Pelodiscus sinensis: one gene and its partner. The protein of the gene in region 2 interacts with the protein of the main gene of each other region in a pairwise test. Links are inferred from orthologs where the notes say so. Each region holds a gene or a part of one and is shown on either strand. Other genes may lie near its edges.

Region 1 (15,846 bases), on a different chromosome or scaffold from region 2:
TAGCAGGGTTGATACTAAATGCTCCAAAATTCATCCCGCCACCCATATTACTACCTTGGTTGTTCCCCAAACCTCCTCCTCCCCCCCTGCTATTTCCAAATCCACCCTGATTTCCAAAGCCTCCTGGATTGCCACCAAATCTTCCACCTCTTTCTAACTGTCTAATGCTATTGTGCTTAGGTTCAGCATTGGATATATGTACGCTGATTCCTTTAATGATCAAGTCCTCTCCACAAAGAGACTGGGCAACCTATAAAAAACAAGGGATGCAAATAAATATAGGATTAAACCATTTTTTAAATTACTTATTACAGCACAAGACAAATCACGAGTCTGAATAGATTTGTAAGCTGTAAAGGAACAGTATATGAAGTTTCTGATTCAAGCTAAAAACAAGATTATTTCACTTTACTGAATAAACCTAAATCACTTAGTCTAGTGTGAAGATCCATAGACACAGTGCTAGCTGAAAAGTATGAATCTGTAGACATGAACTATAAATATACTGATGTAATTCAACAGAAATTCAAATTACAATTGAAATTCTCAAACTGCAGTGAGAAAACCACTGTATATTCAAATCCAATAATTACATGGTAGATGACAGAGTTTGTCAACATTTACAGTCAGAGAGCTATTGAAAAGACTTAGGAAACAATTTCCTAAATGTTAGAGAATAGAATATTTTTTTAAATAAATACCTGATCATCGGCAAATGTAACAAAAGCAAATGCTCTGAAGGGTTTGGGGATGAAGACATCTACTACTTCTCCATACTGAGAAAAAAACTGTCGGAGCTCATCTGCAGTCATATCCTCAGTGCAGCGCCCAACAAACACCTTTCTGCTACGCAAAGGTTCATCAGGACTTTGCTGGGTAGAATCACAGAAAAAGAAATAGTGATTTAAAAAAAGTAATAATTCTTCCGAATACTAATTGCAACTTAGTTTTTTATAGTATCACAGAATCCTAGAAATGGAAGGGACCTTGAGAGATCAAGTCCAGTCCCCTGCTATCATGGCAGGACCAAGCACGGTCTATATCATCCTTGATAGATGTCTGTCTAACCTGTTCTTCAATATCTCCAGTGATGGAGATTCTACAACCTCCCTTCCCTAGGCAATTTATTCCAGTGTTTAACCACCGTGACAGTTAGGAAGTTTTTCCTAATGTCCAACCTAAACCTCCCTTGTTGCAGTTTAAGCCGATTGCTTCTTGTCCTACCCTCAGAGTTCAAGGAGAACAATTCACACCCCCCCCTTCCTGTGAAACCCTTTTAGATACCTGGAAACCACTATCATGTCCCCTCTTAGTCTTCTCTTTTCCAAACTAAACAAGCCCCATTCCTTCAGCCTTGCCTCATAGCTCATGTTTTCTAAACCTTTAATCATTTTTGTTGCTCATCTCCGGACCTTCTCCAATTTTTCCACATCTTTCCTGAAATGTGGTGCCCAGAATGAGACATAGTACTCCAACTGAGGCCTAATCAGTGCAGAGTAGAGCAAAATAATTTCTCATGTCTTGCTCACAACACTCCTATGAATGCATCCCAGAATCATGTTGGTTTTTGCAAGTGTCACACTGTTGGCTCATATTTAGCTTGTGGTCCACTATGACCCCTAAGATCCCTGTCTGCAGTACTCCTTCCTAGACAGTCCCTTCCCATTCTGTATGTGTGAAACGGATTGTTCCTTCCTAAGTGGAATACTTTGTATTTCTCCTTATTAAACTTCAACCTATTTACCTCAGACTATTTCTCCAGATCATTTTGAATTATGACCCTATCCTCCTATCCTTATGAAGTTTTCTATCACAAAAGAAACAATTAACAAGGGTTATCCAGGTGTATATCAGTTACAGAAAGAGCCAAAGAAAAGCAACCCTCCAGTTGCTGTACACACTATGAGATAACGTAATTAAAAACTGTACCCCCCTGAGAAAAAGATGGCAAGGATGAACTTGGAATTCCTAAGTGGATAGAATCAACCTTATCCTCAGGCCTTATTTACACTGGAAATTTTAGGGAAATCTCCCGTCTTTGCTTCGGTAGTGGTGCAGTTCCAGCAGTGCTGACAATAATGGAAACAGCACTACATACTGACCACAGCCATATCTACAACCCATAAGCTAAAGCTCTTTTGATGACTGAAGATTTATTTAGAACATCCTGTTCAAAGAGCATCTCCTATGGGTGGTGCCAACGGCATGTGTGTTAAAAATGGAGAGCAGGAAGATAGGCAGACCATTCCTTGTGCTGTAAATTCTTCACTTGAAAAATATATAATCCTCACATATATAGCAAGGCCTGGTTAAAAGGGTTGTGGTCTACTCTTGGCTCTACTATTGACCCAGTCTGGCCTTGGGCAAGTCACCTATCCTCTGTGTCTTACTAGCCTCCCTTCTTCAAAACAGGAACAGTATTTGAAGCAGTTTAAACAGGAACTGTTAAGATATTTATGATGTTATCAGGCTGGTTTCTATAGTTTTCAGACTGGATATCTCCCTTGTGCTAACTAGTTGTTTTCTCAAACCTCCATCCTACCTTTCCTTCAATCTCTTCACATCAGCATCAACCCACCTAACCTCCAGGCTCCACTCCTTCCTTTTGTCTTCTGACCTAACAATTCCTTTAGGCTACGTCTACACTGGCATGATATTCCGGAAATGCATGTCTAGATTGGCAGGATGCTTTTCTGCAAAAGCACTTTTTGCGGAAAAGCGTCTGTGGCCAATCTAGACGCGCTTTTCCGCAAAATAGCCCCGATCGCCATTTTCACGATCGGGGCTTTTTTGTGGAAAACAAATCTCTGCTGTCTACGCTGGCCCTTTTGCGCAAAAGTTTTTCGGAAAAAGACTTTTGCCCTAACGGGAGCAGCATAGTATTTCTGCAAAAGCACTGACAATCTTACATGAGATTATCAGTGCTTTTGCGGAAATTCAAGCGGCCAGTGTAGACAGCTGGCAAAAGTGGCTAGTCTAGACACAGGCCCAAAGTCCACCCCTTCATTTTCCCATACATCTAATCCCTTCTTCAGTCAACAGAACTCTTTAAAAGAGTGCACGTTTGTTTCTATAAACACTAAAATAATGTAAGGAACGGTACCTTCGAATTAGGAAGTTTACAGTCACACCATCTTCCATCTATCATGTGACGTTGAGACATCACTTTCACCTGGGTTTCATACTCCGTAAATCGAACAAAACCAAATCCCTTTGAATGACCAGTTTTAATGTCTTTCTTAACCTAAGATGAAGAGGGGAAGAGAGAGAAAAAGATTATCTTGATCTGTAGTTTTCAAACTATGGGTCGCAGAATGTCAGGCACTGGGTCTCATTGCTGCAGGTTCATTAGTTGGGTTGCTAAGGCAGGCTTTCTGCCTCCTTTCACTGCAGACTGCACTGTGCCCCAGAAGCAGTGAGCAGCAGGTCCAGCTCCTAGGTGAGGATGGGGGTCAGACGAGCCCACAGGGCTCCATGCACTGCTCCTACCCTGAGCACTAGCTCCACACTCCCACTAGCTAGAACCTGCTGCTGGCTGCTTCCGGGGTGAAGCAAGGTTTCCGGTTCCAGGACAGGCAAAAAGCCTGCCTTAGCATCCCTGATGCACCGCTAACCAGGAGCTACTCAAGGTAAGCCCCTCTTGCCCGAATCCTGACCCCAAAGCTGAAGCTCTCATCCTGAGCCCCACCCCGGATGCTTTTTTTAGTACACAAAAGCATTTGATGGGTTCATAGGAAAAAAGACTATGTGAATTCCAGAAAAAGTGTTCAAAAGAGCATGGGTTTGATGCATGGTGGCAAAGTGCTAATCCAATCTTAATATAAAACAAATCTTTAAACATAAAACATATTGATGAAACTTAAAATTCAGTCTTCAAAAACACTACAACTACCATAATAGTAATAATAAATTAACATGTAAGCACAAAACCCAATCATCACACAGCGGGCCATATTCTGTCTCATTTACACTGTTACAACAGAATTATTCCCTTTTCAGAAACAAGTCTTGATATGGGTCAACTACCTGAACACATACCAAGATATCCCCAAGAAAAAATAGCACACTGCAAATAGTGTAAAGCAAATTTTAATGTTACAGTAGTTAAAGATGTACTCTTTATACTACCCAAATTGCTTTGTACTGGCTCAAATAGAAAAACGTTTAAGTTAACGGAATTCAAATTCTGACTTAAGTGGAGAGGCAAGTGCAACAGAGTTTACCTGAACCATGAGAACTTCTCCAAACGTACTAAAATATTCCTTCAAATCTTGTTCAGTGGTTTTCCAAGGAAGACCCAAAACTATTAAATCGGATGTCTTTTGTACAGCTCGTTTTACTTTCACAGCTGATGAGGCATCCGTTTCATCCATTTTTCTCTTGTTATCTAAATGATACACATCAGAAACTGTCATCTATCTCCACAACACATGAAGGAAAGCTGCTTTCATTGGTCAGAAGCAGCATAGTACTAGGATCAGATCAGTGAAGAACAACCAAGACTAGTGAGTGGGCTGCATGATTGCCAGTAGTGGGCAACTTGCGGCCCTCGCACTCGCTTTCTGCCTCCTTCCTGAATGCCTCACACACAGTGGAGAACTGGACCCCCCATACATCCTATTCTTCCCCCTCCCTCTAAACACTTTTGGAGCATCAGGAATCCACTGAATTCATGCTCAGTCCCTGTTCCTCCTCCATCTTGAACAGCCATGAACAGCTGATTCATAGCATTCAAGTTCTGAGAGGGAGGGGAAGGAGCAGGGATGGAGTGTGAATCAGCAGATTCATGGCGCTACAAAAGTGCTGGGAGGGAGGTGGCGGTGAAAGAAGAGATAGGCTCCAGTGCCCCAGTGTGCAAGAGGCATGGGGAAGGGGGCAGATAGGGGACATGCAGGCCTCAGGTGAAATCCCAGTGGGCCATATGCAGCCCATAGGCTGCCCATCACTGGATAGATCCTTTCAGGATGTATCATGGAAGCTAATAGGGAAAGATACATATTTATTATTATGTTATAATACACATCCAACTGCCCTACAGTATTGGGATAGAAGTTCAGAAGACAGGCAGACACAAATGCATCTAAAAACACACTTTCAGCATGTTTTCCATTGAAGTACTGCCAAATAACATTCACATGCCTGACCAGATTTTGTATGCATTATATATACTTTGAAAAATGGCTACTCAAATGAAAACGGAAAAATGCTCTCCTTACTCTTTTTTTTCTTTTTTTGGTCATCTTTCACCTTTCCCACACCTTCTCTTACAACACTGATGTCATTGGTTCTAATCATGCAATTTCACGTGGGCAAACCTTAGCTCTGCACAAAACTCACTGTAGGATAGGACCTTTGATAACTCTGTGAGATTGTTAAAAGTCTTACAAAAAGTAAGGTAAAGTTTTATTAGTAAAGCACCTTGTAGAATTATACTAAATAATACTCTCATGAATGAGAACGCTCAAAATCACTCTGTGGGTCAGGCACACACATTCATGTGAAAAGGACTAATTTGTAGTTGTGCTATGGTTTGACAAGAGGAAAACAAAAAATAAGGAATCTCTAGCTCTTGATGTAAAATTCCTTGTAATTAAGAAAGCATGGCTGTACCAAATATTCATGGAACAAAAACAAACCTTTGGGATAATTAACAACATAGACCAGATTTCCCCAGCCAGCATCTGGGGCATGCAGAATTCCTTCCACTAGCCGGACTCCTCTCATACACTGAGACACTGGATTCCTGTAACGCAGGCCACATGCTCCAGGGAACTGGGCAGTAACTGTGGATAGCAGCACAGTGCCATCATCCTCTGAGGGGATCTCAATGGGCTCATCGTTCTCATCCTCAGTAACACGGATGTATTCGGACATCTTTGCTGGATTTTACTAATAGAGTAACAAAAAAAGCAGGGAGGAGATCAGCAATTTTTTTACTCCAATTTTATTTTTAATCCTAGCTTCTCTGCAAAACACCGACAATACTTTTTTTGCTAGGCATAAGGAAACTATCAAGTGAGGTTGCATTTTATCTTCTCTAAGCTTTGTGTGTGTTACGTTCTCACAACGAAGTGCAAGGTGACATGTAAGCGGAATGCTGGGAAAGGAAAGGGTGTGAATAAAGGGTTTGCTTACAATTTGCATTGATCTCACCAATCACCCCACTGAGGGGGCGAGGCGAGGCGCACCCCTGAGTGGGACGGGGTAGAAGGGATGAGCCAACAGGTACTGCTGGGAAGCGAAAAAGAAGGGGGAAAGCCAAGGACCAGACCAAAGTAGAGTGGGGCGGGGGGTGGGGGGTAAAGCGAAGGGGAGCAAGGATCAGACAATGCGAGGGCAGAGGCCCAACCATTTCTCAGGTGGAGGGGGGTAAATGTCCTGGTCACACTGGGGAGACAGGGAGCAGAGGTCAGGCCACAGAGGAAGGGAGTCAGGACCAAACCATTACCCGGAGAAAGGGGTGAGGACCAGACTAGATGGCCTGCCGATACGCTACCCCTAAATGAGGCCTAGTTTATAACCACCACCCCCTCCCGCGGGCAGCTAGGCCTCGCCACCCAGCCCTTCCGCGCGCGCTTCTGCCCGCCCCGTCAGGCCCAGCCGCTCTCGAGCTCCGGGCTGGGCCTAACTCCCCGCGGCTCCCGACCCGCTCCGACAGGCCCAGCCGCGGTTGGGACTGGGAACGCCATTGCCTCTAACTCTGCTCTGCTCACCGGGCTGGGGAAGGGGGCCTTACACGGGGCGAAAGGGTTACAGACACCTCCACCTTCCTACAGCCGCCGCTGACAAAATGGCGGCCCTACCGGCCCCCAGAGGCAGAGACCGGTCTGGGGGCGAACTATTCTTCCCTCGGAGGGGGGAAGCTGGAAATGAACGGAAAAGAGCAAACGCCGGGAACGTGGCCTGCTTGGATCTGCGTAAAGAAGCTCTCACACCGTCCTCAGTGTACCTCGCTCGGGATGTGCGGAGCCGTACCTCCTGACAGGGACAGAAGCAAATCTGGGATTGCCCTCACACACACCCTAGAGGAATGGTATGATCCGGCCTACCAGCAGCGCGCATGCGTAAGGCTGAGGCAGAGGCGAGATGGGGAGGGGGAGGAGGAGGAGAGGTGAGGTGAGTGCGGGGAAGGCCTTGGCGCTGTTCCCCTTGAAGGACGTTGAACGGCTAAGGGAGCGTTGCGTGCCCGCTGCTCCAGTCGAAGCTCCTTGTGGAAGAGGCATCCATCATAACTGCCTAGTTCTTTCATGGGGCTGTTGATTCTACTGTATTTGCATAGTTGTTAGGTTTCTCCTGCGCTGACAGTATTTAAAATAATGAACACACGTCTCTTGGTTCTCTTACAGTGTTAAGTTTGTTACAGGTAAAACCCAATTCTGTGAAAATATAAAGGCAATTTGAAGTCCAACTACTAGGGATCTTCCATCATGCAGCGCTTTCCATTCAGGGCTCAACTAAATGATGTGCCACAGGTAGGGGCTGCTCCTGTCAGGCCAGGCACCAGTTAACTGGTTACTCTGGTAAGCATGCAGATAAGGCAATGCTTACCAGGTAACCGGTTAACTCTTTACATCCCTACTCGAGGTTCCTTTCAGTTCTAGGATTCTAGGCAGGCAGGATCTCAGAACATATGAAGGGGCAGGAAAGGTGAGTTAAATGCATCAAAGGAGACAAGGGTGAATGAAGCCTTTTGCTTGGATTGCAATGAAGAATCAAGTAAACAAGTTATGCAGCTTTCAAAACTCTTTTGCCGAGCGTTTTGTGGAGGGATTTTTTTTTTGGATGACTGAAATAACTGTAAAGCTATTAGACAAAGTGTTAATATATGTATGAGATAAGTGTGACAACAGTTTCCTGCTTAAAGATAGGTTGTACTTTGAGACAGGAGCTCAGAGCTCAGTTTGGTCTGAGTCTTTCAAGAGAGCCAAAGCTACTCACGTGGATACTGTCTAAATGCATATTGCATTTCATCTCATTCCAGCCCAGAAAAAGAAAGGTCCCACATGTTAGATTGACATCATAATTCTTACACAATGGTTGACAGATTTGAGTCTAGGGTTGATAAATGGCACTGCATAATCTGTATTTCTAAAATAAAAATTGGTTTACTTGTAGCTCATTTCATTCTCAAGGTGAATGCAATAGTTACTGGTATTGTGATGACTGCACAGGCAAACCTGCTAATCATTGTTTGCTCAGCAATGACTCTCAGACAGATATGCACATTCAATACTGTTTTATGAGAGGGGAAATGTAGGTAGGGCATGTCTCCTTTATTTAAATAATATGGTGTGGGATTTTCCATTGTCACTTTAGTTTGATATCTTGTTCGAAAACTAGTACTTCTAATAGCCTTGTCATGCAGTCTGATCCCAGGCAAGAATCCCCATTGTTTTATGCTGAGCAAGATCTACTTCTCTTAACCCTTTGAGATACACCTAACATGCTGTATGCAGGCATTTATTTGAACAGCACCTTCTGTAATGTTATACAGTAATGTTAGTGGCACTAATTTTGAAACCTCAGGCACCTTGTTATTCATATGCCCTCCTTTTGTATCTTGTGAGGATTTTTCTCGTTCTCTGTTTTTACTGTGGCCCTTCCCTCTTGATTTTAAAAAGAATTGGCTAAACTAGACCGAAATCTGGACAGGTTAATGTGCAGATGAGTTCTTCATGGAATCATCAGCTTGTGGTTCCCTGGAGCTTTGCATAGGTTGGGAGGTAAACTATTCTATTTCTGAGTAAGAAGGAATCTCATTTGAGCGCTGAATTCCCATTCACCGATACGTCTTTCTCATTTCCTCACTGCTATGTTGTGGGGAAAGTGGTAAGGAGAGGCTAGAACTGTAGCTGCTAGTAGTGTAGAACTCTTCAGATGTTGTCGTTCTTTCTACAAGAGGTTGTGAGGTTCTGCTTCATGAATTTCTTTGTGGCAAAAGATGTTTGTATTGACTCTTATAGAGAAGACACAAGACTCACTAGCAATGCACATAGAAGGGATTCTGTATTGAGACTACTGGATGCCTATGATCAGATTATAGGACAGTCTGCACCTCTGTCCCTTTTCTGGTCTCTCTCACATGTTAGGTCTTTTGCCTTTACCTTGCTGGGATGGAATTTAGAGAGGGTCCCTTTTGATTCTGACAGTTCTTTTGTTTGTCCTGTGTTTGTGGGTCTTATCCTGTCCTGGTAAGAACCATTTGGGTAGATTGGCTGGAGAGGAGGCAAAATCACCAAAGCTAATAATAGTTCTTGCATTGTCCCATAATAGGTCTTCAGTGTTTGCTGAGAGGTGGCTATCTCGACCTATTCTTTTCCTTCTGACATGTTTTCCCAGAGAGCCTCCTGTTGAGTTAAACTCTTAGACTGTCAACACAGCGACATTATTTTTGAATAACTAACGTTATTCCAAAATAACATGGTTCACGTTCTACACAGCAAGCAGTTATTTCTACATAATGTTGAAAGACCTATAATGTCAAGTTGTAGGACTTTTTACTCTGACTCCTGTAACCCTCATTTTACGAAGAATAAGGGAAGTCAGAGGAAGAATGCTTTAACTTGAACTTCCTGCTGTGTAGACAGCGCCAAAAGCTGAAATAAGCTATTTTGACTTGAGCTATGTAATTGATGTAGCTCCAGTTGCATAGCTTATTTTGGCTTTAGCCCTGCTGTGTAGATGTTCCCATACAGGTCAACAGAAAACACCCCACTGCTCAGGTCTTACGCATAGTGTTGATAAATCATGACAGAGAAACTACACATTTATCACATATATGGTACCTGTAGTTCTCCCTTGTTAACACAGCCTGTGCTGCCTATCCTAACTGTTCAGGATCACTCTAATTCTTGCAGTCATTTAAGGGACTGCTGACTGCATGACAACATTGAATGGTGTGTTGTTTTTTTTCCATCCCCATTATACAACTCTGGATTTCCAAGAAGCACAAGAAGAGGGAGAAGCAATTATTGTTAAAAATGTTCCCATTCCCACCTGCTATGGCTCCATTAAGGACAGCAATCTTCTGTTTCCTATAGGGTAGCCCTCCAGACCCATTAAACACTCACATTTTATACTTTGCACTGATACTACAACACATTAATAGCTTTTACACATTTTAATCGCTTTTTATGTGCCTGGATAATTGCCCTTCCACATTTCTGTACATTATTATTAAAAGATCAGAATAAAATGATAAACTCAATAATTAGTCCATCAGTCTTATAAAACAGTTACCCTAGCTGCAAATCATATGCCAGACATCTGTAATGCAATCATTTTTCATTTCAAATGTATACGAACAGGAAGCCATATAATGCAGTCATTTGGGAGGTTTGTAAGAAGGACTCTAAATAGTTCTGGCTGTTGTCTTCTTTACAAGACAAGTGGAGAGAAAACTTTCAATGTATCTTCCCCATGCAACTCTCTGTGTAACTTAAAACGGATGGCTGTACCATCCTATTCTGGGGAGAAAGTACAGTTCCATTTCAATATTCAGTTGTGCTTTTGGTAAAATAGGGCTGGAAGGTGCATTGAGAAGTCATCATGTTCAGCCACCTGCACGCTGGTAGGACCAAGTAGACCATCCCTGGTCTATCCTCCAATGATGGGTATTCCACAATGTAATTACCTTTAGAGGAGCAAGTTTTTCCAAATATCTAAGCTGTAGATTAAGTTAATTGCTTCTTGTCCTATCTTCCATGAACACAGAAAACAATTGATCACCGTCCTCTTTATAAGAGCCCTTGACATATTGAAACAATTATTAGATCCCTCTTTAGTCTTTTTTTTCTCAAGATTGAACATGCCCAGTTTTCTCACTGGTCAGGTTTTCTAAACTTATCATTTTCATTGCTCTCATTTGCATTCTCTTCAGTTTATCCACATCTTCCCTGAAGCATAGCAGCCAAAATTGGACACAGTACTACAACTGAGACCTCACCCATGCTGAGTAAAGGGAGACAGTTACCTCCATACAACACTCCTGTTAATATACCCCAGAATATTAGCCTTTTTCATTGCTGCATCAGGTTGACTCATTTGTGAAGCATTATAATCCCCAAATCTTTTCAGCAATACTACTATTGCCTAGCTAGTTATTCCCCATATTGTAGTTGTGCATTTTCCATCCTAAGTGAAGAGATTTGAACTTATCTTTATTGAATTTTATCTTGTTGATTTCAGAGCAGTTCTCCAATTTGTCAAGGTAATTTTCAGTACCAGTCTTGGCCTCCAAAGTACTTGCAGCCCCTCACAGGTTGGTGCCATTTGCAAAGTTTATAAGCATACTCCCCACTCCCTTATCCAATTCATTAGTGAAAATACTGAATAGTGCCTGGTCCAGAACTGACACCTTAGGGATCCCACTAGATACACTCTCCTAGTTTGACAGTGAACAACTCATAAATGCTCTGTGAGTATGGTCTTTCAATCAGTTGTGTGTGTATCTTATAACAATCTAGACCAGCAGTGTGCAGCCTGTGGATGTCTCCTGTCTTCCTGGGGGGGTCACAGCACTGGGCCGGCCGCCATTTTGTTTTCCCAGTTTGGCACCCGACGTATGCACAGCAGGGGCAGGAGGAGTGACGGGAGCAGACCGGTGCTTTAAATTAAAGGGGCCACAACAAAAAAATTTTTTTTCCTCAACCAAAATTTTTCCAGCACTGGGTGGGTGTGTGTGTGTGTGGGGGGGTGTGTGTGTGTGTGTGTGTGTGTTGCGAATTAAAAAAGGTTGAGCACCACTGATCTAAACCAGGGGTTTCCCTTGGCTGAAGCAACTGCATAGTCTATCCCAGGAGACCCGGAGGTAGGGGAGCCTGTTCATTACCATTCCCTAAGTCCCACCATCATCCCACCCTCTTGCCCCCAGGGCACCCTGTCTCCCAAGGATGTGGTTTCGGGGATCTCCGGGAGGGGGGTTTGGTGTGGGATGGCAGCAGCAGTGGGCAGCACCTGAACTCTCTGAGTGGAGCGCATTCACTCAGCTTCCCTGAGGCTCCTGCCACCACAGGGAATGCAGAGGGGGGCCAGCTGCTGTTGTATGTGATGAGGTGCCATTGGTGGAAAGGGGAAAGGCTTGGGGGATGGTAATGGACAAGACTCGCACCCCCAGCCCATTGGGACTCCTGATCCGGATTGTGCAATTGCTCTGGCGGTGGATGGCCCACAGGCCAGGAGTTTGAGACACCTGGTCTAGACCATATGTTTCCCGTTTGCTTATGAGAATGTCATGTGGGACTATGTCAAAAGCCTTGCAAAAAATGAAGGGTTCCCTACACTTGCACCCAAGCTAGCCTCACTTGAAGGCAGAGGGGATTCAGTTTCTAATGCCAGTCAGACTGGAGCTAAACCAACACTGGATCTCAGCTCTGGAAGCATCACTTCCTTGAGGGAATAGTGAATTCTGTCTCTTGGCCTGATTTTTTAGAGGTTCTGAGCACTCTTGGTTCCCACTGAAATCAATAGGAACTATGGGTTCTCATCACCTCTGAAAACCAAGCCATCTATATTGATTTAACATTAGAGTCAGCCATTTCAAAGTTTATTAGCATATCCTGGCACTGAAGTGAAAGGACCGTGTTTTGTATAGTTAGCTTAAAGGACTGAATTTGCTTTCCAGGTAGCCATTATACCAAGAGTCCACATTTTCTATCCATGCTCAATGTGCATCCTAAATCCTGTTTTGACGTCGCCAAGCTGGCATTGAGTCAATCAGTGTTGTTTGTACATGCTGTAAGTACTGGGCTGTGATTGCAGGCTGTCAGCATTACCAGTCTGCACCATGTCAAGTGAAATGTATAGGTTAGCAGTCAGACTATTTCAAGAGGTTTCCATGGCATTTAGCCAAAGTGACCTCTTGCTAACAAAGCATCTGGTGATAACTTCACTAATGAGCAGAGTAAGCACCAACTGTGGGCTAGATTTCACACAGGTAAGCAGCTTGGAGAGAGTGGTGAGTGAACTATCTGATTCAGAGTCTTGAGCAGTAAAATAGTCAGAAAAAGGGCAGTTATTCCCCAAAGCTGGTTCCTTAGTTCTGGCAACATACAAGCTTAGAATTGACCATTTTCAAATTCATCTATGAATTTTTCAGTGACAATAGTGATTTTCATAGCACTTTCCTTGCTGTACTTTGAACTTATATTAAGTTTCAGGTAAGACAATTAGTAGTAGCATTTGCTAACTGCACCAGTGGGCATGCAGATATTTAATTCACTGGTTCCTCCACACCAGCAGTTCAGCGTTCCCATCAGTGTAGACAGACAAAGGCAATGCAGTGATAGTAGCCATCATGTGTGTTCAGTTAAGTGTGCCCACTGGCCCAGAACATAATCCAATACAATAACTGTTTGTTGCCCTGGGCTAAGTGTACCCAGGGGCATGCCCAAACTCAGTATAATGATTAGCCACTGGCCCTCTCAACGAGTGCCCACCAGTGCAAAGGAACATCTGTGGCATCTAAATATAACCTTGTGCTAAAGAACTTAGCTCTGGACACTTCAAAAACACAGACCATTGTAGCCTGTTTCTGATTACAGGCCAGTATAAAGCAGGAAGATTCAGTGGAATGACATTGGTGTAGTTGGTATCAGAAGTAAGACTGATGTCTGTAAATACTTCATGAACCACCCCGCACAAAGTACTGTAGCTTCTTTTATCCTGCTTTAGTCATCTTCTCACACTAAATAGCCAACTCATTTTGGCTCTATGAAGGGTAGCCATATTTTAGACTCTGCAGAACAGCCTGTAGGGGGCATCCTAGAAGCACTAAGCTGCGGCCCATTACAAATAATTGTAAGAGGAATAATAAGGCATTCATTAGTGTAGAGCCATTGGGACTGCATCAGGAAGCAGCCTACATCGCAAGTGAAATTGCCAAGTTTTTGCTCACTCTTATATGCATCAGCACAACCTTCCTTTGCCCCATGCCTTGAGTACAGCACATGCTGAGTGTTACTAGTTAAGGGGACAAGCAGCTGCCTGGAGGCAGTTCAGTTATTCCTTTCTGTTGTTTATGGAATCAAACTGTTATGTGGAGAGATTGGAGCCTTTGGAGCCATGGCTTTGAAAGGGAGGTGCTATTCCTTGGAGAGATGAGATCATCAGCGCTTCTTAGCTATTGGTTGAAGTTGAAAAATACATGTTCAAAAAATATGGTCAATGTTTTTTTTGTTACCATTTTCTTACCTTCCCGTTAGAAGAGCTTCTTATAGCCAAAGAAAGGAGAAGAGATCAAGATTCCATGAAGCCCACTAGAGATTCGCTCCTGAGCTCCCTTGCACAGACACACAAGTCCAAATCCTGCAGCTATTTGTCTTCTCAGGCTGGTGGCCAAGGAATTAGCAGGCAGAAAGGGGCTGACTCTCCGTCACAATCCCAATTTTGGGTCAGTTCTGCTCTGTGATGACCCTTCTGTAGTCTGGGTAGCAAGGTGATATAATCCCACTGTAGGCTAATATAATTAACCAGGGAGACCCTCTGATACCACCAGGATGGGGGGTTAATATGAAACTCTAAAATAGATACAATTAAGGGTGTTATAAATTATTGCCTGAATTTTTTTATTTTACATTTTGGAGAGTTCAGTTTCTCATCAGCACCCAGGTACAGCACGGAAGTAAGTAGGATAACCTACGTTGTTCAGTGCAGTTTGGCTCTCGGTGCTTTATTCTGTAAATTAATGATAGAGCAGTAAAGCACACTTGGCTGCTTGGGAATAAATGATACAGGAAACTGAAATCTATTTGGTCAAACTCTATCCAGGCAATGTACCTGAGAAGCCAAAATTGTCTCTTTGCACCTATATTTACACCCTCTTAATTCCCTCTCTTGGGATAGCTTACAGTATTTTGTTATGGACAAAATTCAGTAGTCACTGAGGTCTTATCTTTGCTTAAAGCTGTTTCCCTGTAGCATTTCAGTGAAGACATGACCTATTGATAGGAGGGATTCACCTCCCTGAAAAGAAGTAGCTCTGACAATGGGAGAATGCAAGTGCTGTCTACCCTTGGTTAGATCAGTTTAACAGTGTCAGTCAGGGATATTGTTTTCCTTGTTGTCACGTTACTGGAATTTGAGGGAAGCAGCTGGATCATGGCTGCACCCATAGGTGGGGGTGCTGGCCCCAACAATGGTATAGAAGGGGGCCATGTGGGGTATTGAATGGGAGCTTGTTGTTTGCTGATGCTGTGTACGCTATTTATGTGAGTGTATAATGTCTGTGTGTGTAGGTAGGAATCTGTAATCTGTGTGGAAGCTGAATATTTCTCTGAATGTGGTTGAGCATTGCTATGGACAGGCTGATTAGTGAGGCCCTGTGGGACAATGGCACTCGATGGGCCAAGGACACACCTAAAGCATGAGGGCGGAGACCTAAGAGCTGCCAGCAGAGAGAGGCTGAGGGCCAGGTGACCGGCTGCATACAAGAAGAGGCCAGGAAGGAGGTATAAAGAGGCCATGTGGTCGATGCCATTTTGTCTTCAGCTCAGCACTTCATCCCAGAGGCAGCATTGCAGGGATTGAAGAGCCCGAAAGACCTGTGCACCCATCCTGATCTTAGGATGCGCAATAAGAATTTTTAAACCAGCAGCTGTAACATCTCTGCTAGAGCCTGCATCGAGAACTGGGAGATTCGGTGCATGTAACGTACTATACTTTAATAACCTTACTCTCATACTTTTCTTTCTTGTGTTAATAAACCTTTAGTTGTTAGATGCTAAAGGATTGGCCCAGCATGATTTGTGGGTAAGGTCCAAAGGGTAAATTGACCAGAGATCTGTGGCTGGTTTCCTGGAACCGGACAGAACTTGTTCAGGGTAGGTGGGATTGGGTGCTAGGACCCCC
Region 2 (16,099 bases):
TGGTCCACCAACACCCATGAGCCTACCAGACCATGGATGTTGCTGGAATGGAAGAGGCTCAACCTGTATTTACATTCTAGTTCACCGAAGGGTGTCTTGTAGGGGTTCTGCTAAAAGCCCAAAGCCATAGGGGCCATCGTAATCTTTGTAAAATGTATGCGTGGATAATACGTAAGAACGTGTATATATAGGAATTGATGTTCTTAGTGCCTTGAAGTGAAAGGCTGGTCACCCAGAGATGACATATCTTAAAACAAATTCCACCAAATGTGTGTGTGGGGGGGGAGAAGGGGGTAGAATTCATTTATCTCCATGGCAGGCCATTGTGTGTCTGATGATGGAAATCTATCTGCATGCTGAGTCAAATGCTGAGATGGCAGGGCAGTCAGCCTGGATTTGTAAAAATCAAATCATGTCACACCAACCTGATAGCTTTGTTTGATAGGATAAGGGGGAAGTGGTAGATATGGTATACCTAGACTTTAGTAAAGAATTTGATACAGTCTCCCATGACTTTCTCATTAATAATACAATCTAGATAAGGTTACTATAAGGTGAATGCATAACTGGTTGGATAACTGTTTTCCGAGAAAAACACAACAAATGGTCTGATAGCACTTTATAGACTAACAAAACATGTAGATGGTATCATGAGCTTTCATGGACGGAGCCCACTTCTTCAGATGACCGGTCTACATGTTTTGCTAGTGCTACCAGACTATTTGTTGTTTTTTTCTGTAACAGACTAATTCAGCTACCCCCTGAAGCTTCTGTTTTCAGAGAGTAGTTATCAATGGTTCACAGTTATGCTGGAAGGGTATAACAAGTGGTGTTCAGGGATCACTTTTGGGACTGGTTCTGTTCAACATCTCCATCAATGATTTAGATCAGGGTTACTCAACTTCGGAAGCCCAGGGGCTATAATGATACAGCACATGCGAAGGGCCGCAACTTAAGTGTGATTTGCATATACATGCAAATATATATGCAAAGAGCTTCTTTCATACTGATGGGGAATGAATACAAAGATTAAGACAAGAATACCTCCCATGCAAACCCCATGTAAGTCAGTTCTGTTGCTATTAATAAATCGCAGTATTTACCCGATTTCCACTCATTTGACAGCACGTTTAATGAGCAATGACAACCCAGGAATTTAGCTACTAAAACACATATCAGAAGAGCATTATATTGACTACTTTTTTGTTTTGGCTCCCACCCGCGGGCCGCAAACAAATGAGCCGCATGTTCAATAAACCTGATTTAGATGATGGTATAGGGAAGATGCTTATGAAGTTTGCAGATAATGCCAAGATGGGAGGGGTTCTAAATGCTTTGAAGGATAGGCTTATAACGCAAAATTATCTATTCAAACTGGAGCAATTGTCTGCATGTGTTTAGCCTGGAAAATAAAAGACTGAGAGGGGACATAACAGCTTTCAAGCACCTAAAATACTGTTACAAGGAAAGGGAGAAAAAATTATTCTCCTTGATCTCAGATAAGACAAGAGGCAATGGGCTTAAATTGCAGCAAGAGAGGTTTAGGTTGGACGTTAGGAAAAAACTTCCTGTCACGGTAGTTAAACACTGGAATAAACTGCCTAAGAAGTTTGTGGAATCTCCATCATTGGCGATATCTAAGAGCAGGAATGGTCTAGATAAGCGGTCACCAGTCAAGACAGATTTGGATCTATTGATAAATCCTGAAGCTTCTGACATGCGATCTTGACTGATCTGACTGGGGAAGGCTAATCAAATGCCGGCAATTCACCTGCCCCCCCCACCACCATCATGCTGCTCCTGTTCTCTGTGTGGGATTGTCAGCCGATGGTCAGGGCAGTGCGTGGTATGTGTGTTATACACTCGAGTCTTCAACTGCTAGGATCGAGATCCCTTCACAGCGGGCAGCCTAGGGAAGTCTGACGGGCGCCCCCAAGAGTTTGCAGGGAGAGTGTGTCACATCCAAGTCTTTAGCTGCTAGGATCGGGGTCCCTTCGCAGCGGGCAGCCTAGGGAAGGCTGACAGATGCCCCAAAGGATCTGTCTCGTGGAGGCAACATGATCCAAATGCATCTGCCCCATGACCAGCTGGAGTTCTTTTGTGTTTGGCTCTGTTACAGCAACAGGAGGAGTCAAGTTAAAACTTCAACAGTTAGGCTATGTCTACACTGGCGGCTTCTTGCGCAAGAAGTCTTGTGCAAGAAAACGTTAACACTGCCATCGGCGAGCTGTGCTTTTGCCCAAAAGCATCCATGGCAGTGTAGTATTTTGCGCAAGAAAGCTCTGATGGCCATTTTAGCCACAGGGCTTTCTTGCGCAAGAAATCCCTGCCAAGCGTCTACACTGCCCTCTTGCGCAAGAACTCCTGCACAAGAGGGCTTACACCTGTTAAAAAAGAGCGTAGCTCTTGCACAAGGAGCCCTCTCTTACCATGCCGTACTGTAAATTTACTTGCGCAAGAGCGGGCGGGCAGTGTGGATGCTCTGCAGATTCTTGTGCAAGAACGGCTGTACTTGCGCAAGTTTTCCGTTAAAAGCATTTTCGGAACAGAGCATCTAGATTGGCACGGACGCTTTTCTGCAAAAGCACTTTTTGCGGAAAAGCGTTCGTGCCAATCTAGACGCACTTTTCTGCAAAAAAGCCCTGATCGCCGTTTTCGCGATTGGGGCTTTTTTGCGGAAAACAAATCTGAGCTGTCTACGCTGGCCCTTTTGCACAAAGGTTTTGCGCAAAAGGGACTTTTGCCTGAACGGGAGCAGAATAGTATTTCCGCAAGAAGCACTCATTTCTTACAGTAGGAAGTCAGTGCTTTTTCGGAAATTCAAGCGGCCAGTGTAGACAGCTGGCAAGTTTTTCCGGAAATGCGGCTGATTTTCCGGAAAATCTGGCCAGTCTAGACACAGCCAGTTTGTATTATGGGTAGGGCTGGGGGAGGCTACCACACACACACCTTGGAGACAGTGCTGGGGGGTAATCAGGGAGCTAACCCAAGGCAGAAATAAGCAAAGGTAGGTTCTTCATGCTCAGGGCAGGTGGTAGAAAGGGGTGTTAGAACCTAACTGTGTCTACATTGGCACGATCTTGCGCCAAAGCAGCTGCTCGCGCAAAAACATGCTGCCTGTCTACCCTGGCGGGGAGTTCTTGCGCAAAAACACTGATGTTTTAATGTGTGAAATCAGTGCTTCTTGTGCAAGAACTATGATGCTCCCGCTCAGGAATAAGCCCTCTTGCGCAACTGTTCTTGACAATTTTTAGAATAGTCAACACCTTTTTTTAAAACATAGCACTGAGATAATATCCTGCAAATATTTACACTTGTGCGTAACTTTACATGCTCAAATTATGGCATTGGCTTTAGGTGGTGAAATCTTGGCCCCTCTAAAGTCCGTGGCAAACCACCTAGGTTGGATGTGGAATAAACATTTTTACCATTCTTGTCTTTGGGGGTTTTGCTAGTAGGAGTGGATTTCTACTGTCCTTGTTGCTTCTCTGGTAGGTTACCATTTATTTCAGGAGTCTATATTTTTTTAGTTCATTGGCGCAAAAGCTCGTATCTGGCACAACAGCACAGGATCTTTTACACAGATGATGTGTAGGTCTCGTTCCTTTAGGTATATTTTTATTTGGCAAGCACTGTGGAATGGACATTTCCTTAGAGGGATTTCATAAAATAGATTTCTGCACGTGGTAGGTTAACTTTTTCCATGAAGTGTTTATTGAGGACTTAAATAATGTGTGAAGCTAGCAAAGACAAACAATTTCAACCATAATTTAAGCCAGTAAGAAAAGGAGATGATTAGTATTGTTTTTATTATCAGAAAGACTACCAAATGCTCACACACTGTTCATATTAAGTCACCTCTCTAGGTGGTAAGTACTGTAGAATAATGTCTAGGAGAAGTAGTGCTTGAACATTGCTGCAGTCAGGGTACATTTTTGAAGGAACAGATAAAAGCCAATCTTTTCCTTATACAATAAATGTAGCACCCCTCTGAGGTTATTGAGAACTTATTCAAGTCACAGAGATATTGTATGTGGTTTAATAACACAATTAAATGAAGATAAGAATGAGAAGTACAAAATTGGCTTAACTTATTTTACTGTAAAGACAAGGTTCTTTCCTTCCCCCTCCAATACTCTTTTTTACATCCTCACCAATGTCATTGCCACAACGTAGGTGGAATATTGTCACAAAGACACAGTAAAGTATAAAACCTTGATCACAGTAGCCCCATTTAATATCTGAAGATTTAATTCAGTTTTAACACTCTCATATGGCTAATTTAATTTTATTTGCTTATGCAATGCATACATGAGGTGGCAAAGTTTTATTTATTGCTGCTCATTGTATTTGTCACAAATCATGCCTTCTAATTTCCCAGATTGTGTTTCTGATGAAGTTGTATCAGATCAGTTATGTACTTCCACCATTATATAATCATTATGACTTTTCTTAAAGACTTCCACCTTTGCTTGCTTTGTGTATCACCACAAGAGGCAACATATCCACAATCTATTCTGAAGGGGAAAAATAATCTCCTCTCCTAGGCTGTGTCTAGACTGGCCAATTTTTCCAGAAAATCAGCCGCTTTTCCAGAAAAACTTGCCAGCTGTCTACACTGGCTGCTTGAATTTCCGCAAAAGCACTGATGATCTCATGTAAGATTGTCAGTGTTCTTGTGCAAATACTATGCTGCTCCTGTCTGGGCAAAAGTCCTTTTGCGCAAAAGGGCCAGTGTAGACAGCTCAGATTTGTTTTCCGCAAAAGAGCCCTGATCGCAAAAATGGCAATCGGGGCTTTTTTGCAGAAAAGCGCGTCTAGATTGGCACGGATGCTTTTCCGCAAAAAGTGCTTTTGCAGAAAAGCATCCGTGCCAATCTAGACGTTCTGTTCCAAAAATGCTTTTAACAGAAAACTTTTCCGTTAAAAGTATTTCCGGAAACTCATGCCAGTCTAGATGTAGCCTTTGTGTTTCAAACCTGTCTCTTTATTGTACAGACACATAATTTCTATGGAATAAGGGGGGGGGGGATCTTAAATTTTGGTAAAACCTTGCTTAATTTTTTTATGTATCTGTTTTCTGGATTAAGTGTGTCAGTCACAACTAGAGAAGATTTTTTATAAAGTTTATAAATGCAGTTAATTTATCAATGCATTTAAAAATGCTACTAAAGCAAGACTGTCAGTTACCAATGTCCACTAAGTAAGGGGTAGTGCCTAAATTGAGTTGCAATTGGGTTCTTGGTTCCCCATTTGCTGTCTATTGGTCCTATATTGCCACTTGTTAGTACAGTATCTGATCAACTTCCACGTGAAATCAATAGCACTAGAGCCCTAAATGACTTCATGAAGGCTGTCTACACTGGGCCACTTATTCCAGAAAATCAGCCGCTTTTCCGGAATAAGCTGCGAGCTGTTTACACTGGCCCTTGAATTTCCGGAAAAGCAACGATGCTCTACTGTACAAAATCAGCCGCTATTCCGGAAAAACTATTCTGCTCCCGCTCGGGCATAAGTCCTTATTCCGGAACACTGTTCCTGAAAAGGGCCAATGTAGACAGCCCAGTAGTCTTTTCCAGAATAAAGCCCCAATCGCGAAAATGGCGATCGGGGCTCTTTTCCGGAAAAGCACGTCTACATTGGCCACAGACGCTTTTCTGGAAAAAGGGCTTTTCCGGAAAAGCAGCCTGCCAATGTAGATGCTCCTTTTCTGGAAAAACTGAAAACTGAATAGTATTCCGTTTTAAGCATTTCCGGAAATTCATGCCAGTGTAGACACAGCTGAAGTGTCTAGAATTTTTTTCAGAGTAAAAATTCTGTTTGGGGTAAGGTATCTTGTGTTTGCTTAGGTGAGTTGTAGAGGTTTAGAAATAGAGGATGAAAGTAATCTGCTTCAGTGGGGAAGTATTCTGCTATTGATTAATACCGGTGGGTATCAGGAAGGAATTTTCCGTCAAGCCAAACTGGCAGCGACCTTAAGAGGTTTTTCACCTTCCTCTGAAGAATGTAGAGAGGCAGGTTATGTGCTGCTACCTACAATGAAGGTAATCTGGAGACGGGGAAAGCACTACTGTATGCTCCTGCACTTCTCTGCACTCGTATGCAGAGAGCAACAATCCTGACCTTAAAAAAATGCTATTGTTTTAAAGTAGTCTTCTTTCTTCTTTGTAAATTCATATATTCAAAACAAGCTTGTTCTGAAAATCATTGATTACATTTAAGAAAAGAAAGATTGTATAAAATAATAGTGATGCCTATATTAAGAATAATGCTAACGAGTCATAATCCCAATCCTAGATCCCAAGATCTGGGCACTTTTAAGTTACCATAATCAATAAAGCAATGCCTCCCCAAATGTTGGTGAACTGTAATGGCTACACTGGAAAACAGACGTGGTTGGTGAGGTACAATACAAGCTGAGTTATCCAGCACTTGAATATTCAGAGTTGGTTAACTGGCACCTGTCATAGATGGCAATACAATTACTCCTTCAGTTAACCAGAAATTTGCATTTGCAGAAGTCAAGTTTGCATTAGTAAAGTTTGTTCACACTTTGTACTTCTGCATATAATACCACTATCTGATATTATCTAACCCATCCTGGAACTATGGCCAGTGTATGGTAAAAAATTCATGAACCATAGTGTAAAGCTGAAGTAACTGGCACATTTGATTAACCGACAACCCCCAGTTTCCCATGAACTAGAGATGTTAAATATCAGTTAATTGAATAGTCAAGTAACCTCATGAATTCTTATCAGTTACTCGACTAGTCTATAGTGGAGCCGACAGCCAGTGAGGATCCGACCTGCCACTGAGAAGACCTTTGCCACTCCACGCTTCTGTCTCTAGTAGTGTTGCCAACCCACAGAAATTTCATTTATGGACAAAATGGGGAAAAAATTTATGGACATAATTTTTATACTACATTAAGACGACAAATAGCCAAACGTGAAAGTAATTGTCCTTTATACATCACAAGTACAATATGCTATTTAACTCACTTTCATTTAGTTAGTCATGGTCCTGAAAGTTTTTCACTGAGCTAAATAAACAACTAAAACGTTCAATTTCTGCTGCTCCACAGTAAAATGGCTGAAGCAGCACAGAAGAAATTTAATTGCTATAGAATCATTGGTTTTTGAAATTTTATTGCACTTTTACAAAATTTATGGATACCTACTGTTTTTTACAGACATGTCCAATTCCAGCTAATTTTTTACTGACTGTAAATTTGTGACAGTTAGCAACCCTGGTCTCTATCTCACAGGCATCAGCGCAGGGTGCCAGGAGGGAGCTGATCCATGAGGGGGCCAGTTTAAAAACCAGCCCCCCTTATGGACTGGCTGCCTGTTGCTCCGTATTGCTGCTTCTGGTACCGAAACTGAGCCAGGCTGCCTGCCTAGCTCCTAATACACTTTAAATGCAGAGCCACAGTTGGGATAGGTCCCTGACCAAGCTGGGCTGCAGGCCAGACTTATAAAAAATTTACTGGCAAAGGTGTGGGGGGAAAAATACGTGTAGTCTATCGCATTAACTGATAATCGATTACAACACTATTATACTGTTACCATGAACTCCGAGAAACAGAGCTTGTACTGTGGTATATTTTATCAGACCAACTTGTATGCCTGCAGTGCTCTTGTTCAGGTCTGAGAAAGGTGCTGAGAGCGTCTCAGATGAAAGCAAGGCGGAAAGGTAACTCACCAAGCTCCCTTCTTGTCCTGTCGTCGCGGCTGATGGGCCCCTCTCCGGCTATGTCTACACTCGCGGCTTCTTGCGCAAGAATCTATTGCCCACCCGCTCTTGCACAAGGAAATGTACAGTACGGCGCGGTGAGAGAAGGCTTCTTGCTCAAGCCCTACGCTCTTTATCAGGTGTAAGCCCGTCTGTGCAGGCGGCAGTGTGGACGCTCGGCTGGGATGTCTTGCGCAAGCGAGCGGCCGCACTGCCAGGCACGCTCTTGCGCAAAAGCACAGCGCACAGGGCCGCGCGGACGTGTTCTTGCGCAAGCGAGCGGCCGCACTGCCAGGCACGCTCGTGCGCAAAAGCACAGTGCACAGGGCTGCGCGGACATGTTCTTGCGCAAGACGCCGCCAGTGTAGACGTGGCCCACCCAGCCGACGGGCTCCCAGGTGCTGGGCAGACCCCTTGAGAGTGACGGGCTGCTGGGGGCAGCCCCATAGCCCGGGCCGGGCGCCAGGCTCGCAGGGGAGGTCAAGCAGAGCGCCCAGGCTGGCGGGGGGCAGGAGCCGGAGAGCGCTGCCTGAGGGAGCCAGGCTTGGCCTAGGCAGGGGGGTTGATTTGCGGGGCTGCAGGAGGGCGGGGGCCTGAGCCGGGGAGGGGGGGTTGCTCGTGTAACAGACGCAGGTGCGGCGGCGGGGCCTGGGGCCTGGTCCGCCCCGAGCGCGGGCCTGGGAGCAAGGCCCGGCCACTGAGCGCCGCCGCGCGCCAGCCCAGGCCTCGCGCGCCAGCAGCCACTCGCCACCCGCAGCGGTTAACGGCCCAACCGCCACTGGGGGGAGCTGCCTAGCCCCGCCCCCGCCCTCTGGGCCGGGGAGAGGCAACTTGGCCTCGACCTCGGCGCCTGCGCAGCCCACCCCACCTCTCCCCTCCCGAGCTGCGCGCGCGCGCCCCCGCCCCCTGGCTTCAGGCAGCAGCGCTCGAGCCCACCTGAGGGTATCGCCAGAGCTGCGGCTTCAGCAGAGGTCACTGGGCATGCGCGCTCTTTGCGGGCATGCGCGGTAGCGCCCCCCTGTCAGGCCGTCTCCAACAGGCTGAGCCGAGGGGGAGCGGCCGCCGGAGCCGGGTGTGGAAAGGGGGAAGGCCAGTCTCGGGGTGCGGGCGGGCTATTTAAGAGCCGGGCGAGCTTCTCTCCTTCCCGTCCCGGCAGGGAACGAGGCGAAGGCTGGCCCCGCCCCCGCAGCGTGTCTGAGGGCCGGCAGGGAGCGAGCTCGCCCTGCGCAGGCCCAGATATGGCCACCCGGAGTCACGTGACTTACCCCGTTCCCCCACCGCTTCTTTCCCCTCGGCTCCCCCCGCGCTTCCTTTCCCAGCGTTCCGCGCGCCGCCCTCTGCCCCCGGAAGTCCGGTTCCGCCGCTGCCTGGGTTCCAACTGCGCGGGGCCGCTTCTGCATCCCCACGCGGGGCCATGGGAGTCCCGGCCTTCTTCCGCTGGCTCAGCCGCAAGTACCCCTCCATCATCGTGCACAGCGTGGAGGAGAAGGTGAGGCCCGCCCCGCCCGCCCCGGGGACCAGGTCCCCTCCCCCGCGTCTTCCCCCCCCCCGGCCTGGGGACCAGCCCCCCCCATTCTACTCCCCCTTCCCATTGTCCCGGGCCAGCGGCCCCCCTCCCTCGCGGGGCCTCCCTCCCCCTTCTGCTCCCAGCCTGGCACCGCGTCTAGCAACGGCGGAGCGGGCCGCATCCGAAACACGCGCGGGGGGGGAATCAGCTCCCCGCTCCCCCCCCCAAACTCCTCCAGTTTTGTTTCTCCCTCCTCCCCGCTGCTGGGCTGGGGATCGGCTCCTGTCTCGCTGCCGCCTCCCCTCCCGTCCTGACTCTACTCGACCACTTTGCTCCCTGCATTGCGGGGCGCAGGCTCCGTGGAACACAAAGTCCCGGTTCCCGTTTGTTCCACTTAGGCTGGGTAACTACACACGGGGCTTCATGTAACCGGGCAGACTCCTTGGTAGAGCAGGGAGCCCCCTCTTCCCCCGGGTTTGGAGCTCTGGCCTCATCTTTAGCTGTACCTGGGATGAGCCTGCTGAGGGAGGGAATACAGCTAGTAGCCACCCTGTGAGCCTCAGCAACCGCAGAGCTGGGGCTCCTTTGACTTTTTTGCAGTGTGTTTGTGTGTGTGATGGATGTGGCCCCACTCAGGGTGGTCTTCCACTCACTTTGCTAGGCACAGTACAGGCATTCAACAAAGACACGTCTTCTCACTTGTGAACAAACCCAAAGCACTAAGAAATTGTACAGATTTGTGATATTATGTGTTGTGCTAAGGTGTACGATTAGTTACATTTTGATATTATGGCGAATTGATTTATATCTAGCAAATGTGGCTGTGCCTTATTTATGCTGTGACTCTGTGCAAGTAATCACAGTGAAGAAGCTGAATAGTGTTGTCATCCAACTGCCAGCACCTGCCTCTTTTAGTCTTTAAATTGAAGCTCAAAGCTTTCTTGTCACGTGGCTGCTGCTGTTTTCAGAACATTTGGAAACTGTGCCTTTTACGTACTGTTTCTCATCATATTTTCTGCAAAACTCAAGAGAACTGAACTTTTTTGCTCCTAATCTAAAGTTAGTATCAAGTAACTGTTGGCATTCCTTTTCCTGCACCCTCCCAGGATTGCTCATTTTGTGTAGCACAGAAGCTAGCACTTCCTATTTGTTATAAACACTTTGTCTGTTTATGCCATTGCCTTTTATTGGCACTCTCATTAATGACAACTCAACATTAGCTACCAGGAAATCATTATTGCTTAATGACTGCCTGGGTGATGTGATAGCTGAAACTGAATCTGGAGGTCTTTAGCAGTCTGGTCATTAATGGCCATGAAATGCCTGACCTGAAGGTCACTGTTGCTGCTATTCAACTTAGGAAAAATGTGAAAAATAAATACTGTTGAAAAGTTGAATGGCCTAATGCTATGGAGAGAGTGTTTTGTTTACAGTGCTGATTTCTTCTGGGCTGTTAGGCTGAACAGTAACCAATGGAAATAGTCCATACGATTTATGATAGCAAACGGCAGAGATCACAAAGGTTCTATCTTAGTGTGTTTAAATCCTATAACTACGAACACTTCTCAGCTGCAGAGTTTTAGGTTTTAAAGTAACAAACTTAAATGTACTTTTACAGTATTGGTCATACACAAATATTAGTGCTTGTCAGAATGGTTTGCAAGTAAACTTGTGTAGATAGTTTAAGGATGGAAAATGGTATAATGGGAAAGTTTGTTTGGGGAAGAGTGGTCAGAGATGTATTTTGGTCACTTAATCTTTTCTCCTGTATAATCCTGAAATCACTTAATCATGTTTACATTCTCTATTTCCTTGATTTTTATTTTTTATTTTATTTTTTATTGAGAGGTGTAATTATACTCTAACTAGAGATGTGGACAAGTAACTGGTTATCTAGTCAACATCATCCTTACTGGGTGATGCTTACTGGATAACAGTTATCTGGCTCCCCGGGAGCAGCCCCTCACCTGTGGCATACTGCTCTAGCCACACAGGGCTGGTGCTGGGAGCTAGGGCTGGCGCTGGGAGCCGGCCCTGGCAGCCAGCCTGCATAGGGCTAGGAGTAGGAGACCCACGGGCTTGAGGGATGCTCCAGCTGGCCTGGAGCGGTGCTTCCACCGAGGATCCCGTTAGTTAAACATTTGGTCGGTTAACTGACTATTTAAGTGGTATTTTACATGCCTAACTCCCATCTCTTGTTCATTCTGCTATTTAATTGTTAGTTAGGAATTTGTAAGTGATTACAAATCACTATTTTAATGGAGGAGGTGCTGGGGTCTGGGAAGGAGGTTGGGTGCAGAAGGGAGCTCGGGTAGAGGATTGAGGTGCAGGATGTAAGAGTAGTCGATTACCTCATAAGCCTAGGTTTATTGGGTAGTTGAGTTGACTACTTGCTTTTCCCCCCATCCTTGCTGCCTCTGTATCCAAGGCAGCAAGGGGGGGCGGAACAGGAGCCAGTGCTGGGGGAAGCCGACTTAAAAGCAGGTGCTTCCTTGCACCATCTCCGATGCTGCCTGTTAGAGGCAGCAGTGGGGAGGGTGTAGGGGAGGCTGCCAGGGAGCAGCCGGTAACTGCAGTGGGCCCAGGCTCGCCATGGGCAGAGGCTACTCTGGTAGCTACTCTGGTAGCAGCCTCTGTTCATGGGGATCCCAGTGGGGAGCTGGGGCCCCCCATGGACGGGGCTGCTGGACCCGATATGAGCCGGGACTGAGCAATCCCAGCTCAGTCCTGGTTTGCACGGGGTCTGGGAGATTATCCCCACTTTGGCTCTGCAGTTTAAATGTAGTTGTGACCAGGGGCAGGGGTGCAGAGGTTTTGGGTTGTAACTTAGGACAGGGAGTTGTGGGGGGAAAGGAGGGAGCGGGGTGCCAAGTGCAAGCTCTGGCTGGGAAATGCTTACCATAATCTGCTCCCCTCCTGCAATGCAGCAAGACCCTCATGCAGACTCCCTACCTGCTGTGCCCCCACACGCCACTCAAAATGGCAACTGCTGGGGCCACATGCACATCTGTGTTGTGCGCCCAGGGGGCTTTGCACATGCATTATTATCGTGCCCCCTCTGTCTTTTCTCCAGATTAAACAAACCCATCTTTTCCTGTCTTTCCTCGGGGTCATGTTTTTGAGACCGTCAGTGATTTTTTGTTGTTGCTCTTCTCTGGGTTTTCTCCAGTTTGGCTAGATCAGGGGTCGGCATCCTTTTTAACCCTCCTACCCTGGACCATGCCACCCTCCTGGGAGGGAGATGAGGCTTTCTCCACCGTGTGCCCCGTGGACCACCTGGGTCAATGCAAATCTTTCTGCTGACTACCAGTTGCTAATGGAAACTCACTGTTAATTACATAATTATGCCCAAGCCATTTTGCTAATGCTGCAGCTGGGGAAAATGGTTTAATTTCAATTATTAAACAGATTAAGCGTTTTAGCTTTCTCATGTTTGTTTATCAAACTTCGTTTTAAATTAAAATATTCTTTTCAACACAACAGGTTTCAATGTTTTCTCTATTTATGGCGGGGTAGGGAACCTGTTTTGGGCCACAGAAAAATCGGTTGGGGACCACACAAGTGAGAAGCGAAAAAACTCCTCCCCAAACTCCCAACCTTCACTGATGTGGCTCCCAACTGAGACACCTCACTCCTCTGGCAGTCCAGCCCCCACGGGGTGAGGGGAAGGGACTGGAAGGACTGAGATTCAGGGCTTCCCATAGGCCAGATTTATTTTCCTGGGGTTCCAGAGTTAGTGAATTTTGTGGCCCCCCCTTAGGCTCTGGGGTGGGGACAAAAATGAGTGGTTCAGTGTGTGGGACAGGGCTGCCAGCGAGTGGGATAGGGATGTAGGGTGTGGTGATGAGGGCAGGATCTGGAAGGGAATTGGGAGCAGGAGAGAGTGTGGGACGGAAGGGGGTTGGGGGAGTAAACCAGGGAATGTAGAAGGGTGAGAATACAGCCAAATAGTTAGTTGGGGAGGGAGGCAAAGAAGTGGGGAGTAAAGGAAAGTGCAGCTTCTGCAATGTAAAATAGTAATCCCCCCTCCTCACATCTTCCCTCTGCTCCAGACTCGCTCCCCTCAGCCCCATTATATCCCTCCAGCCTAATCCCCTCAGCCCCATTATATCCCTCCAGCCTAATCCCCTGTATTGCCTATGTCCCTCAGTGCAACCCCTGCTCCCTTCCATCCTGCCCCCACAGCCTGATCCCCTGCATTGCTCCATGCTCCCTCAGTCCAACCCCTGCTCCCTTGCATCCTGCCCCCCACAGCCTGATCCCCTGCATTGCTCCATGCTCCCTCAGTCCAACCCCTGTCCCCTCCTATCTTGCCTGTGCAGCCTCCTTCACTCCCCATCCTGCTCCCAAATCACTGTGCCCCCAGTGCACTCACCAGCAGTGCTGAGGCGGGGTGGGGGGTGGCAGAATCTCTTCCCTGCCCAGATCAGCCCTTTGCCTGCAGGCTGTGGCTCTGGAGCTGGGACAGGCAGAGCCTGGGGCTGCCCAGGGTTGGCTCCAGCCCAGCCAGGCACAGAGGGGTGCTGGGGAAGGGTCTCCCGGTGTACCACATGTGCCAGCTGCCCAGCCCCGGCTCTGCGGAGCAGGCCCAGCCCTACCCCCTCCCGAAGCAAGAAGCCCGTAGCCAGGAGGCAGGGGTTAACCACTTAGCTCCTGGGAGCTGCATGCCCAGGATCGGCAGGGGCAGCCCCAGGAATGTGTGCGTATCTCCCCACGCACATCCCCAGCAGGAAGCCTGAGCTAGCGCTCCAGCCTGTAGCTGTGAGGCTGGGGCCACAGCCTGAGGTCCTGGCTGTGCTGGGGGGAGGGGTGGGGCTGAGCTCCAGCCCATGTGCCACGGGAAGTCGGCGTGCGTGCGTGCCGGGGGTTGCTGACCCCAGTCTAGATGTTTCCTGAACTGCGATGCCCAGAATTGGGCGCAGTACTGCAGTGGCAGTCGAATTGGCACGGATAATAACAGAAGAACGACTTCTTGTGTCCTGCTTACAATACTCCTGCTAATAAATCCCAGATGATGATGATTTGCAATACTGTTACTCCGGTTGTCTCCTTTAGCTTATGAGCAGCTGTGACTCCCAGTCCTTTTCTGCAGGACTCCTTCTGAGGCAGTCATCTCCCCACGACAGACAGGTATAATAGGTGGGGGAAGGCACTGCCTTCCCAAACCGCCAAGCTGGCCCACCCTTTCTCTGCCCCCAGAACGCCTGCGGTAGCATATTGGGGGAAAGGGGAAGGAGTGTTGCTGCCCCCCGAGCATCTGCCCTCCCTATGTTCCGGGGCCAGGGAGACTGGAGCCACCTGTCCTCCCCATGGTGCTGGGGTGGGAAGGTGGCTTGGCTCCCTTCTGGGCAAGGCCTGTGCAGAAGGGGTGGGGTTGAGGGCTTGCCCTGTCTTCACACACCGCACATGCATTTCCCATTTTCTGTTTGTGCAAGTGATTGGTCTAAGTGGAGTGCTTTGCCTTTGTTCTTACTGAATTTCATTCTGTTTGCTTCAGACCATTTCTGCAGTGTGTCCAGATCCTTTTAAATGTTATACCTCTTATGGACTCAAAGTAAATTTGCCATAAACTAAGGATTAGATCCCATTGTTCTTACATAAAATGAATAAATCCTGTTTTCCATTGGACATTACATAAGGTAAATTTATTGTATACATTTGAGTTGAATCTTATGGAAGCGTCTCTCTTTTTGAAATGTTAACAAGTAGATCCTTCCTTTTCCTCTTTAAGAAGACAGAGGAAAAACTGCTAATCTTAAATCAAGCAGGAAGACTAAGAGGAAGAGCTTGAAGATACTAGAAAATCCTGGGGAAAATATTAATCAAATCCACATAACCTAATAAAACGGTAGCTACAATAACATAACTGGAGATCTATTTTAATTGTTTCAAAAGAGGTTCTATGAACAGTTTAGTTCAGCCAACAGCTTGCAAGCCGCATGCGGCTCTTGCCCCCCAAAATTGTGGCTTACGATGCCGCTCCTGTCCCCGCAGCCCCAAATGGCCCCTGTCGACTCCCCCGGCTTCCCTGTGCTTACTGGGTTGGAGCTGTGGGGTTTTAAAAATGGTGCCCAAAATGGCGGCTGTCTTAAAGGGGCAGCCTCCTTTTAATTAAAAAAAAATTTTTTATGTTTTTGCTCGACAATTCTGTTGTGGGGGCCTTTTTTTCCCCTTGACAATTCTGGTGCAGCTCTTCACATTTTTTCCACCGCTGTTTTGGCACGCTCTGTTAGATGGGTTGGCCACCTCTGGTTTAGTTATATCATGAGACAACATTCACCGATGCTTCAATCCATTGCAAGACTATTTTTCATTGACAATTTGACAGCATATTGGTTATGTGACCATTTAAGGGCAAAGTTATAAACCAATCTGCTTTAGAAAATCTTCAAAAAGAGCCTGAATATAAGCAAAATACAGTATTAAAGGTGAAGCAAAATATCAGCTGAGGGCAATTTTATGTTCCATACCATGTAGTTTGTAAGCCTTTTGCGCATGAATCAGTTAGCTGTAGTGAGAGGTCTGACTGAAAGAGCAAATAGAATTGAAGAGGACAACTATCTTGTCCCATTATTCATTCTGAGTATATACTGGTTTAAGTGAAATTCCCAATTGACTAGAAAAATGGTGCTGTAAATCTTTGTTCAAAGTTAACCACAGTTGTTTTATGCTAATAGACCTTGTCAAAACTATCCAATGGTTTTTGTTTAATTCTCTGTCACATAATCTTATTTTGTGATTAGTCAAATAATCTGAGATGTACCTTGACTGATCTGGGTGCATAATAGAAGGGAGCATCAGAGAAAGAAAACTTAGTTTAAAAAAGGCTGAAATTTTATTAATTTGATTATTTTT

Evidence for each region.
Region 1: the proteins of XRN2 (region 2) and TARDBP interact in binary tests that used the Homo sapiens proteins (3 or more experiments, as listed by UniProt). The link is inferred for Pelodiscus sinensis from reciprocal best matches to the Homo sapiens genes XRN2 and TARDBP.

The regions. Positions count from the first base shown.
Region 1 is NC_134733.1:11,711,297-11,727,142, forward strand, and holds the start of TARDBP (TAR DNA-binding protein 43), read right to left. Parts: upstream 6,853-15,846; 5' UTR 6,714-6,852; intron 5,890-6,713; 5' UTR 5,875-5,889; coding exon 5,637-5,874; intron 4,388-5,636; coding exon 4,224-4,387; intron 3,245-4,223; coding exon 3,104-3,244; intron 873-3,103; coding exon 702-872; intron 251-701; coding exon 1-250. UniProt on the Homo sapiens protein: RNA-binding protein that is involved in various steps of RNA biogenesis and processing.
Region 2 is NC_134713.1:195,829,561-195,845,659, forward strand, and holds the start of XRN2 (5'-3' exoribonuclease 2), read left to right. Parts: upstream 1-8,840; 5' UTR 8,841-9,151; coding exon 9,152-9,226; intron 9,227-16,099. UniProt on the Homo sapiens protein: Possesses 5'->3' exoribonuclease activity. May promote the termination of transcription by RNA polymerase II.